Linked DNA regions of Saccharomyces cerevisiae S288C. The protein of the gene in region 2 interacts with the protein of the main gene of each other region in a biochemical or structural test. Each region holds a gene or a part of one and is shown on either strand. Other genes may lie near its edges.

What was found.
Region 1: the proteins of MIA40 (region 2) and ERV1 form a complex in vitro, tested with the Saccharomyces cerevisiae proteins (9 studies listed by BioGRID, with this or other methods).

The regions. Positions count from the first base shown.
Region 1 is NC_001139.9:540,148-544,705, reverse strand, and holds ERV1 (flavin-linked sulfhydryl oxidase), read right to left. Parts: upstream 1,154-4,558; coding exon 1,068-1,153; intron 985-1,067; coding exon 501-984; downstream 1-500. Other genes in the region: protein-degrading AAA family ATPase MSP1, read right to left, coding at 1,415-2,503. UniProt on the Saccharomyces cerevisiae protein: FAD-dependent sulfhydryl oxidase that catalyzes disulfide bond formation. Required for the import and folding of small cysteine-containing proteins in the mitochondrial intermembrane space (IMS).
Region 2 is NC_001143.9:71,039-78,948, forward strand, and holds MIA40 (Mia40p), read left to right. Parts: upstream 1-4,782; coding exon 4,783-5,994; downstream 5,995-7,910. Other genes in the region: PEX1 (AAA family ATPase peroxin 1), read right to left, coding at 1-2,827; palmitoyltransferase YKT6, read right to left, coding at 3,894-4,496; threonine--tRNA ligase MST1, read right to left, coding at 6,220-7,608; type 1 protein phosphatase-activating protein SDS22, read right to left, coding at 7,828-7,910. UniProt on the Saccharomyces cerevisiae protein: Required for the import and folding of small cysteine-containing proteins (small Tim) in the mitochondrial intermembrane space (IMS). Forms a redox cycle with ERV1 that involves a disulfide relay system.

The sequences.
Region 1 (4,558 bases), on a different chromosome or scaffold from region 2:
TTCACAATTCATAACTAAAATAGTATGCTATAAGAGTCACATTTCACAGATATTTCTTCCGTGATAGTTTAATGGTCAGAATGGGCGCTTGTCGCGTGCCAGATCGGGGTTCAATTCCCCGTCGCGGAGATTTTTTTCTTTTTCTGCTCTTCTTAGAAGAGGTTAATACCACTGATACGGCTAATTTCAAGTTCATTCTTGATGACCTCTAAACAAGGGCTGGGAATACTCAAAAGACCAGAGGCACTAGCTGCAAACATGACAATTCTTTGAAAGTAAACTTTTTAGCTAAATACTGACTAAATATTTTTATACATATAAAACTATTAATCCTAACATATATTAGTAGAAAAGTCATTCATCTGGAAAGTTAGAGCTCAAGCCTAAATAAAAAAGCCAACATATGACTGATCAATACGATTGGAGTGTTATATACACGAGAATCTGTAAATATGTATAAATTGTCTTTTATGTGTTCCTTCAGAATTCTGAGATTGTACTTATTCGTCCCAGCCGTCCTTCCATCTTTTTTCCCAGAAATTACAGTCAAATTTGGGCTTCCTCAATTTCTTATTGACTTTATTGTGGGCTTCACACATCCACCTCCCAAGTTCTTCTCTTGACTCAACTTGTGGTGCATTTTCTCTGATATATTTTTCAAAGTCTTTAGCACACCAGTTGCAAGGATAAATATGTGAGAAGATATTCAAGAACTGTTTCATTTCACCCTTCTGTTGGTCTGTAGGTTGAGCAGGATAGCTGGCAGCTACAGAGTGTAACAGCGTCCATGAAGATCTACCTAGTTGCTCTACGTCAGGAGGGTCAACCTTCCTGTATGTTCTTGAGCCAGGCATCAACTCTGAAGCTTCGCCAGTGAGAGCCCCCGTACCTGCTAGTTTACCGTTAGATGAGAGGTTCTTCAGGCCATTAGATATCTTCCCGGTCACGTACTGAAAGTCAAGTAGGGTGTTACATGATCGGCAACTATTATAGAGAATTTGTTAATAAAAAATCACAAGCTTGATTGGATCAGTAGATCCTGAATTGCTTTGCGTAATCCAACATACGGTTTGCCATCTTCGTCATATATTATTTTCCTCCCACTTAAGCCTTCTTGTGGTGGATTATCCGTCATTTTATCTATTGCTTTCATGAAGCTTTGTATTCATTGAAAGTTGAGTGTTTTTGGCTTTTCCCCATCTTTAGATTTAGATTATGACTAAACCTGATAGAATAGTTGCCGTAATAAAAGCGGCCCAAGAAAAATAACTAGTATATAATTATAAAGCAGAAATAAAGGAAGTTATGTACAGGAGTATACTGCATATACACATATTATGTGAAAACTAGCTTATCTGATATGATATGATGCGTGAATAAAAAGCTTTCTTCTTTTTTTTCTAATTTTCCTTCCTTAATCAAGAGGTTGAGATGACAACGTACTTGTAGCATCCATTCTTAATTTTTTTGTAAAATCTTTTGTCTTTAATGGTCTTATCTTCAAGGAAGAAGTATCATTAACATCGATTGTACCACTATCAATGAGCTGCCTCTTCTGTTTTATGTATTCCTTTGCTGCATCTAAGGCCGCTTCTCTGCAAAGCTCTTTCAGGTCCGACCCAGAAAATCCTTTGGTATTGTCTGCAATCAGTTGCAAGTCGAATTCGTCTTCGTCTAGTTTAGTGTCTTTTAATAAAACACTTAATATTTTGTAACGTTGATCAGAACCAGGCAATGAAACAAGAAACCTTTTTGGTAACCTCCTCAAAAACGCATCATCTATGTCATTTATCCGATTAGTAGCACCGATAATCATAACCCTTCCATTATTCAATAAGCCATCCCATAAAGTCATGAATTCAGCTTTTAAGGTTGCCGTAACTTCATGATCTGTAGAAGACCGTTCTCTAAGGAATGAATCAATTTCGTCAATGAATATTATACAAGGTTGTAACTTGTTCGCCAATGAAAACATTGCATCGACTATTTTGTTAGATTCACCATACCATTTATCCATTATAGATGACATTCTTATTGAGATAAAATTAGCACCACTTTCCTTGGCTAGGGCCTTCGCCAACATGGTTTTACCACATCCTGGTGGCCCATATAGCAAGACACCGCTAGGTGCTTGAAGTAAAGGGCTATTAGAATATACTTCTGGCATCATCAAGGGATATATGACACTTTCATGTAGATCTGAAATAAGCGGGTCTAAGCCACCAATATCCTGGAATGTAATATTTATTTCATCTGGCGTAACGATAGAAGATAATATAGTCCTTTCATATGCATCTAATGTTACTTCTGCCAATGCCGGTGATCTTTTCACCAGCTTTTCCCATTGCAAGGACTGTTTGGCCTTTGATTCCCTTGATTTACCTGATAACGGTCCTGATTCAACATCGTTGAGTAGCCGACTGACCAGGTAGTATAATGATATGCCAGTCCCAACTAGGACGGAAAGATCAGTAATCGTTTTTAAATCAAATTTGCGAGACATTGGGCTTCCTTTCTTTTGAATCCTTATCTCTTTTCGTTCTTGCTTCTTCCTTTTTTGAAAACGTGTCAAGACGCTTCTATAATATAACGATTTTTAGGAAAGCTAAACTATCGATTTCCGCCTGTCCAGTAAATAGAGATTATATGGTGTAACCTGTTGTGTTGGACAGATATAAGTCATTAAAAAAATAATAACTTCCTTGACCAATTGTATTGAAATACTTCAGCCAAGAATTTATATTGACTTTACTACCTCTTTTTCAAGAGGTAAGAAAAAGAACACTCCGATACGGGGAGTCGAACCCCGGTCTCCACGGTGAAAGCGTGATGTGATAGCCGTTACACTATATCGGATGGTAATCTGTGAAAATTTCTGGCTTCAAATAGCTAAATAGCAATGTTTTTAAAGAGCTGATGCATTTATTAGAATAAAATTTCAATGTCATCCAGTGGCTGGTATTTATATTACTTGTATTTTATCATATACGGTGTAAAAAAGATACCATGAAGATTGAGAATGAGAAATATGTGAATGTTGAGATAATTGTTGGGATTCCATTGTTGATAAAGGCTATAATATTAGGTATACAGAATATACTAGAAGTTCTCCTCGAGGATATAGGAATCCTCAAAATGGAATCTATATTTCTACATACTAATATTACGATTATTCCTCATTCCGTTTTATATGTTTATATTCATTGATCCTATTACATTATCAATCCTTGCGTTTCAGCTTCCTCTAACTTCGATGACAGCTTCTCATAACTTATGTCATCATCTTAACACCGTATATGATAATATATTGATAATATAACTATTAGTTGATAGACGATAGTGGATTTTTATTCCAACATACCACCCATAATGTAATAGATCTAATGAATCCATTTGTTTGTTAATAGTTTGAATGTTTTTATCGGAAGAGGTTTGGTCATTACGTCTGCAATATTCTTTTTGGTTTCGATATAGCATACGTGCAGATGATTTCCTGATACTTCATCTCTCAATCTCATTGCTTTAGTACCAAAAAATCTGTTCCTAAATTTCTCTTCATTATTGGATATAATTATACTGATTGTAGATTTACTGTCGGTTAGTAATCCTTTGGTAATTGGTTTCTTGTCAAGTTCTTGTATCAGGTAACTTAGATTATTTAATAATGGGACAGATTCACTTATCGCGTGTATTTCTGCTTCCGTAGTTGAAGTACATGTTAATGAAGCCTTGGTGGACTTTCCTCCAATTACCTTTCCATTAAGTAAATATATGTTGCCAATTTGTGATTTATAATACGGTTGGTTGCCATACGAGGCATCGCTTATAACAACTAATTTATTTGTTGGCTTAACAGGTTTGCTTTTGTGCCATATTAATTGCTTATCTCTCGTATTCCATATGAACTGTATCAATTCATATGTCATATCTAACACTTGCTTGGACGGAAATAGTATATGTTGTGCAAGTGTGTTGATGTAGTATAATAGGTCAAATCTAAATTTATATCCAACATATGATGCTAGACCTATCAGCTTTTGCATTTCATGTACCTTCATTTTGTAATCATCTTCTTCTAGCTCTAGTTCTTGCTGGTCTATATATAGACCTGGTTGACCTGGAGCGCTAAGTTTCCTTCCTTTTGGGTTCAAAGGTACGTTTAGTTTGGGTATTTTTTCAGTTAATGAGTTTTCCATACCCAATTTCATGTATTTACCTCTTTGGTATTTGATTTCCAAGCCAAGAATGTCATATTGAATTTCCTCATCACTTTCGCCTAGATTTATAATCTTGGTGTCGTATTGCATCTTAAGCTTGTCTATAATTCTTTTGTTTGAATTTAGATTTTTGCTAAACAATACCATATCATCTACGAATAAACAAATTGTCACTTGACTGTTTTTAAATACGCATGACCATCCACGAACTTCTTCCATACCACATTGTTGTATCAGGTATGATTTGATAGTTTCGTACCAGTTCGCTCCACTTTGTTTCAATCCATAAAGTGATTTCTTCAAACGTATCAACTTATCATTCATTCCTAAATGTGGTGGAG
Region 2 (7,910 bases):
TATCATTGCCGGGTACCACTTCCGATTGGTCTGCAGCAGACAGCCACCTATGTACAGATTTCAAATAAGCATTGTAGCAGAGCCCCTGTAAATCAGCACCCGAAAAACCAGCTGTCTTTTCAGCGATCAACTTCAAGTCTGCATTTTTCTCCAATGCAAATTTTTTTTGTCCCGTATCCTTGTCTTTTGAATTGACGATAGCTTGCAAGATATCTAACCTCTCTGATTCAGTCGGTATATTACAGATCACACTTTTGTCTAATCTTCCCGGTCTTAACAATGCGCTATCAATCAAATCAGGTCTACTTGTAGCTGCTAGTATATATACACCATCAAGGCCCTCGGCACCATCCATTTGGGTCAATAATTGATTGACTACACGGTCTGTGACACCAGTGGAGTCATGCCCTCTCTTTGGCGCAATAGAATCGAACTCGTCAAAAAATAGAATACAGGGTTTGACGGACTGTGCCCTTTCAAACAATTCTCTTATGTTTTGTTCGCTGGCACCTATAAACTTGTTTAAAATCTCTGGTCCCTTAACGGAGATAAAGTTTAACCCACATTGTTGTGCCACGGCGCTCGCCAGAAGCGTTTTACCACAACCAGGATAACCGTAAAGCAAGATTCCTGATCTCAATCTTAGGGGACAATTAACGAAAATAGGCTCATATTTTGTGGGCCACTCTAAGGTTTCTAGAAGGACATCTTTGGCATTTGCTAAAGCACCAATATCCCCCCATTTGATGTTCGTTTCTTTTGTTAGCTTTACTCCACGCAACGCAGATGGTGTAAACGCACTAAGCGACTTCGAAAAAAGTTCCCTTGTTACAACATTATCACAATCTCTTTCCAACTGCAAGTCGTAGAAAATCTTTTCTGTGAATATTTCCAAATCTAGTGGCGAAAATCCTTCTGTCTCCAACGACAAATCACTGAATTGCAAATCTCGATTTAGTTTCATGATCTGGTTTTTCGAGAAAAAATACTCCAGTAACTTCGCTCTTGCATGTTTGTCAGGTGCTCTCAAAGACCACGTCTCTGAAACAAAATGCTTATCAAACAATAGCGGATTAATTTGAGTTTTCTGCTTGCCTGAAAATAAAACTCTGATTCGTTTATTATCCTTGTTAAATATCTTTGTCACCTGATTGATGAAAAAATTCAAAAGTTTGCTTGCATTATCCCATTGGCCATTATTAGAAGGATCTCCGTCATTGGCTTGAGGTTTTCCAAATAGAGCCTCAACGTTATCCAACACAATCAAAGAAGGACCATACCAATAACAAAAAGAACACCATTCCATAATTAATTTTTGGGTTTTATCTAAATTTGATGTCTCGTGCAATGTTTCACAATCCGCATATTTAACGAAGATGTGATGATCTTTTTCCACTTCATTTATAAGCTCTTTTAATAACCTTGTTTTACCGATCCCTTGCTTACCATCTAATATAATAGCTGGTGTGGCAATAATAGGCGATGTCAAATAATTGACCATTTCTTTCTTGATACTATTTACCGTAATGAAATCATCTTCATCTTTACTAGTGCGCGAAACTTCGCCAGTTTCTTTGACGTGGTAATGTTTAGGCAAATGCCTTTCGATAATATCTTTAACTTCTTCTTTACCCATTTGGGTTACTTTCCATTGAACGGATTCATTGGAAATTTCATTCAAATTACACAACTGCTGCTCGGATTCACCTTTTTTTATTTCGATTATAATTTGCTCTGTTGGAAGTATTAAGTTATTGGTCAATAAGCTCCCGCCCAACAACTTAGAATACTGATCCCCACTCTTGGTAGGAACGTCCTTGCCAAAATATTTGATATTGACTGTTGCATTTCTTCCGGATATTATATTTGCTTGATTCATTTGTAGAAACTCTAGTTTGATTTTTGCTCCGTTCATTGGGTGCGTAAAGAATGCATCCCAAAGATGAGAGCTTAATGCAATGTGATTTTCGGGTATCTGACTATCACATTTTATAAAAACCCCAATCTTCTTCGAAGGGATACCAACTGATTTATTATCTGAATCGCTTTTCTTGGACTGCCTTAAGCTACATTTTACGATAGAAGCGTAGCCCTTCTGAGAAGGCAATTGTGCCCCGTCACTGATATATACGACAAAAAGGTTATCTTTAGGGAAGTCCATTTTGCACACAGTACTCCTCAATATTACCTTCTTTAAAAGTTGGATAGCCCCATTTTTTAGTATTGTCTTATTACTATGACCATACTCAGCCTTCACCAAACGTGTTTTATTGACTTTTGGTGCCACAACAACCAAGGAACCATCTGTGATCCTCGCAGACTTCATTGATGGCTCCACCCTGTCAATTTTGAACTTTGTAACAATTCCTTCCAAATAACAAATCAAAGTCTCACCTGGGGTAACTATACGGGTTTGGTGCAAAATCTCACCATTTTGGAACCTCATCGCATTGGCATCGATAATTTCCCAATCATCACTCGTTTCTGGCGTGACATACACCTCCGTAGCCAGGTGTGTGTGGTCATATCGCTGGATGTATAAGTCCACCAATGGAGACTTTTGATTTAAATCATATACTGTGGCCAAAACAGGATTGATAAGAACAACATTCTCACTCGATCCAGAATCATGGCCATCCCATCCAAGATGAACAATAGGTATATCTGAATTATGAGAATGGACTGCTATACCGAATTCCTGGATAGCGTAGTTGGTTGACTCTAACACGTTTATAATTGAATGCGGTAACCTTAAAAAGTTTCCTACTATGGCATTGGAGAATTGGATTCTCAGATTCTCAAACTTCAACCTCTTGGTCGTCGTCATTTGAAAGAGCAGTTCCTCAGGTGTTTCTTGTTACTGCCGTCCCTTCCAGAAGAAATTCGACGATGACAATAGTCGGAGAGATATTCCGGACCTTTATAATTGCGGCTACGCACAAGAATAAATCGCGATAGTAATCGGATATAAGACAATAAAGTCCAGCTAACTTGGTTGGAGAATTCGACAGATTACCATGAATATAGAAATCGATGTTTTTTTTTGTCCACGCCGATTGATCAGCCATTTTTTTTTATCAGGGTCGCAACTGCCCTGTGCAAATAAGAAAGCCTGAAATGGTTGCACAAAGACCACAAACAAGGGCATACGCCAGTACAGTATTATGGACTCATGCCATCGAGGTTACATAGAATTAGTTTAAACAAAAACCAACTATCCTCTAATATCCATGGTACGAGTATATATAATTGTATGAAGTGTAAGAATATGATATAAATAATGAGAGCACTCATAGAGAGTAACGGCGCTGAATTGTAAGAACTGTCACGTAGTAACACAATCACTGAAAGCATATAAAGTGAAATGAGAAACGGTAGTAATATCATATGCATTACCAATTCCTTTTAGTGAATTTCCATGTGCCCGAGGGGGGACTTCCAGTATATTCTGTTACATTTAAGTAAATACTTCATCAACAAATAGGGCCCAGCGGTTTCTTACACTAATTATACATTTACAACGTAAATGCTCCAGCTCAAGCATTATTTATATATCTTGTTTTCAAAAGAAAAATATAGCAATTAGACTCCATGGCCAAGTTGGTTAAGGCGTGCGACTGTTAATCGCAAGATCGTGAGTTCAACCCTCACTGGGGTCGCTTATTTTTAACTTTTTTACACTGAAGAAACAAATCAATTCTAATACAATGCCAATGGCTTCAAATCAACCTTTGGTTATAATAGTTAGGAGAATCGATGCTTACATAGTATATTATTTAAACAATTAATTTGATTTAAAAGATTTTTGTTTCCCTTGCTGCTGTCATTGGCTTTCTAAATTACATAAAGCAGATGAAAAGCCACACTATGCTGAAAATAGTGTGTGGATGCATCTACATGATGATGCAACACGAATTGGATTTTTTAGCTTGCTTATAAAACATTTTGGAACTTGCCGTTAATGACTCCGATTTGTCCACCAAATTATCCAACTTTTCACCTCTTTGTAAAACATTCTCAATCGTTTTGTGCAAAACGATTTTCGTCTCATCCAGTTCTTGTTGAACTTTCATGATAGCGTCAGCCTGTGAAGGATCTTGATATTTGCTAATGTAAGTGTCCAGTTGCTTCATTTTCAATGCATCATTGGTCTCAGTCACATCTGCCCACTCTTCCTTAGGATGTGCGACTAAATATTCATCCAATATTTTGTTTAATAGTGTGTATGCTGGTCTGACAGGATATTCTTTGTCGGTGATCAAAACACCACATATGCCCTCACTCCTGGCATAAACGTGGCCAATATAGTTGCCTTCTTCTATACTTTGTCTTTGTCCTGCACCAGTTCTAGAAGCGACCGTTTCAGCAAAAAAAGTCATAAACTGGCCAACACTAGACCTTTCAAAGAAACCAAATTGTGACAAGTCTTTAACTTCACTCAACTCTAGAGCCTTTTCTCCTCCAGAGCGAAATACACCGATGTAGTAGATTCTCATTGCCAAAATAACTTCTCTAGTGATACGTAAAGCTTCAGAAATGCCCTAGCCTGGTCTAACGCAGTCAAACTGTGCCAGAGACTTTTGTATATTGTTCATGTTGATATCTATTGTGCTTGCTCTTGATTTCACACCAAGCCAATCGTTCTGTACGGCACGCCACCCAATAAGAAAAAAAGGGAAAAGGAGCCGAATTTTGGTTTAAAAACATATAATGCTGAAATTGTGGAACACCAATTACCAACTGGAAGTAGGCTCGATCCAAAGAGTGTATATTATCAGTAAAATGCTTCGCAACTTAGTCGTCAGGAATGCGTGCAGAAACAGGCCGTCAATTCAAGTGGCAAGGGGGTTATGCCGACACCAAACAAGACGTCTCATGGCGTCCTCCCCTCAGTTCGGTAGGAACTCCAATCAGGAAAAAACAGCGGGCTTTATAATGGGGATTCTTTCTATGGCTGGTGCTTTATATTTTATTGCTCCTAATAGGAAGCCTCTTTTCGCCTCAAGGAAGGTAGAATCCGATAAAACCGCAGAGGAAGAGCTTTCCAGTGGTGGTGAGCAATCACCAGAAAATGAAGATGACAACAACAGCAAAAGCGATGAAAATGGAGATGACAACGACAGCAAAAACGATGAAACTGAAGCTGGCCCTCAATTAGGGGGTGATAAAATTGGTGCTTCAAAAGTAGCTGAAGATGGTGAATTGGTTGTTCTAGCAGAAGAAGACAACAAGTCTTCCGAAGATAAAGATACTGATGAATCAAAGGTATCAACCAAAGATGATGAGCAATCCAATGAAGACAATGCCACCGCTAACAATCAAAAGGATGAAAACATAAGTTCTGAGAACTCGGAAGAAAATACTAGTGACAAAACACTAGACAACAATGCTGGATCTTCTGAAAAAAAAGATCCAGAACATTCAGATGATGAAAAATCGCAACAGGGACAATCTGATGACAAGACAACTACTGAAGATAATAATGGAGAAGAAGAATCCTCAAAAAAAACTGTAAGTGACTCGGAAAATTCAGCTAAGCAATCTGAATCTAGCGATGAAGAGAAAGAAGAACTAAGAAAACAAGAGGAAAAGCAAATGGGTCCTACTGAAGAAGAGGTTCAACACGAAGGTGCTTATAACCCAGACACTGGTGAGATAAATTGGGACTGTCCTTGCTTGGGAGGTATGGCCCATGGACCCTGTGGTGAAGAGTTCAAATCTGCATTTTCTTGCTTCGTCTATTCTGAAGCTGAACCAAAAGGTATCGACTGTGTTGAAAAGTTTCAACATATGCAAGACTGTTTCAGAAAATACCCCGAGCATTATGCAGAACAACTAAAGGAAACATCTGATGATGAGGAACCTCAAGACAAAGTAAAGGTCAACACAATAGAATCAGCGCCAAATGTTTCAAGCGCAAAGGAAAATGCTGCGAAAAAAGCAGAGCAATCAGATGTGAAAAAAGAACCATTGAATGAGGAATCCAAACCTTAAAATCTCCTGAAAATCTCCCGAACGTAAAAAGTATAAAAGTATAAAGGATGATACATGTAAATACAGTAATATTATCTTAGTTTAATGACTACATATGGTATAATATGTGAAATATACATGAATTAATGCATCTGTGGGGCGGATGAGTCTAGTCTCTGTATGAATCCAGCTATACATCAAATCGTATCCTTTTATTTACAGGGCAAGTTTGTCATATATTTTAAGTTACTTGTAGTTTTTTTCCAGCTCAATAAATTTTTCCCAAATTTGAGACATTGTAAGTTTCTCGAAACTCTTTCTATTATCACGTTCTCGAATGTTGTATTTCTGTAACTGTACTTCCTCATCACCCACGATAATTAAATAGGAATAGTTTTTCAAAATGGCCGACTTGATCCTATACCCTACGGGTTCGTTTCTTATGTCGAGATCAACATTGAAATGCCAATCATTTAAAGGAACTGGTTCCATGTCGTCGGCTTCCAGTTCATTACGTAGTTTTTTCTGCAAGGCAGTGCACATGTCTAGCTGTTGCACATTTTTCGTATTGACGGGAATAATTACAGCTTGGTAAGGATTCAACCAAAACGGCCAACGGCCCTCATTAGAATCTATCAGTAAAGCCATAAATCTTTCGATAGAACCAAAAGTAGCTCTATGAATCATAATTGGCCTCTTGTACGAGTTGTCTTGATCCTTGAATTTCAAATCGAACCTCTCAGGTAGCTGAAAGTCCAACTGAATAGTAGCGACTTGATGAGTTTTGCGTAAATGGTCCGTAACCATTATATCCAACTTTGGACCATAGAACGCACCATCACCAGGGTTCAGTTTCCACGGTTTGCCTGATTCTTCCAAGATTTCCTTGAGTACTTGCTCAGCATGATTCCAAACTTTGAGGTCTCCAATGAAGTGATCCGGTCTTGTAGAAAAGTTTATAAAATAATTGCTCTCTGCTCCAGAACCTCCTTTAACAAAGGGGAAAATTTTGTTGTAAACTATGTCGATTAATTTTAAAGAGTTGAAAATTTCTGATTTCACTTGGGAAGGAGTGCAAAAGATATGACCATCGTCTTGATGGAACTTCCTTAGTCTAGTCAATCCCGACAGTGCACCAGAAGCTTCATTTCTATGTAGTGGTGAAAAATCAGAGAAGCGTAGGGGAAGTTCGTTATACGATCTATCCTTTTTACCGAAGATCAGACAATGGCCTGGGCAATTCATCGGTTTTAAACCGTATTCCTCCTTTTCTTCATCCGTAGTTTCCACCTTAAACATGTCATCAGCATAATTTTCCCAGTGACCAGACTTTTCCCAAAGAGTCTTTTTGTAAATCAAAGGCGTCACAACTTCATTAAAACCAAATTTGAACTTTTGTTGTAACTTCATAAACTCTATCAATTTGTTGAAAATCTTAGCACCATTTGGAAGAAAGAACATGGATCCAGGAGATAGTGGATCTGTCATGAAAAGATCTTGCCTCTGAGATACCATGGATGTCATAGTAGCTGGAGTCGCCGACGAAGCGTTCTTAGTGGCCTTTCTCGTAGAGTAGAAAGCACGATTCCAAAGAGCATTGCGAGAACAATGCCATCTTACAAGTTGTATTTTCATATTGCGAGACAGAAGGACGTGCCCTTAGCTATTGCATATGTTTTTCTTTATGTAGTTCAGCAGCTCTTCTTTTTTTCATGCTCGAGGTTTTTAAGGGCGAACTTTAACTAGATGGATTATTCAGTTTTTTTTAAAAGGATCAAAATCCTACATTATATATATATATATATATATATGTTTGTGTGTGTATATAAAAAAAAAATCATTTCTTGATCAAGATCAGCCTCTTATATATGTCGCATCAATCTTCTGTAGGGATGGAGGTAAGTTCATAGTCAGTTTTCTTCTATACGAAGTCTTAT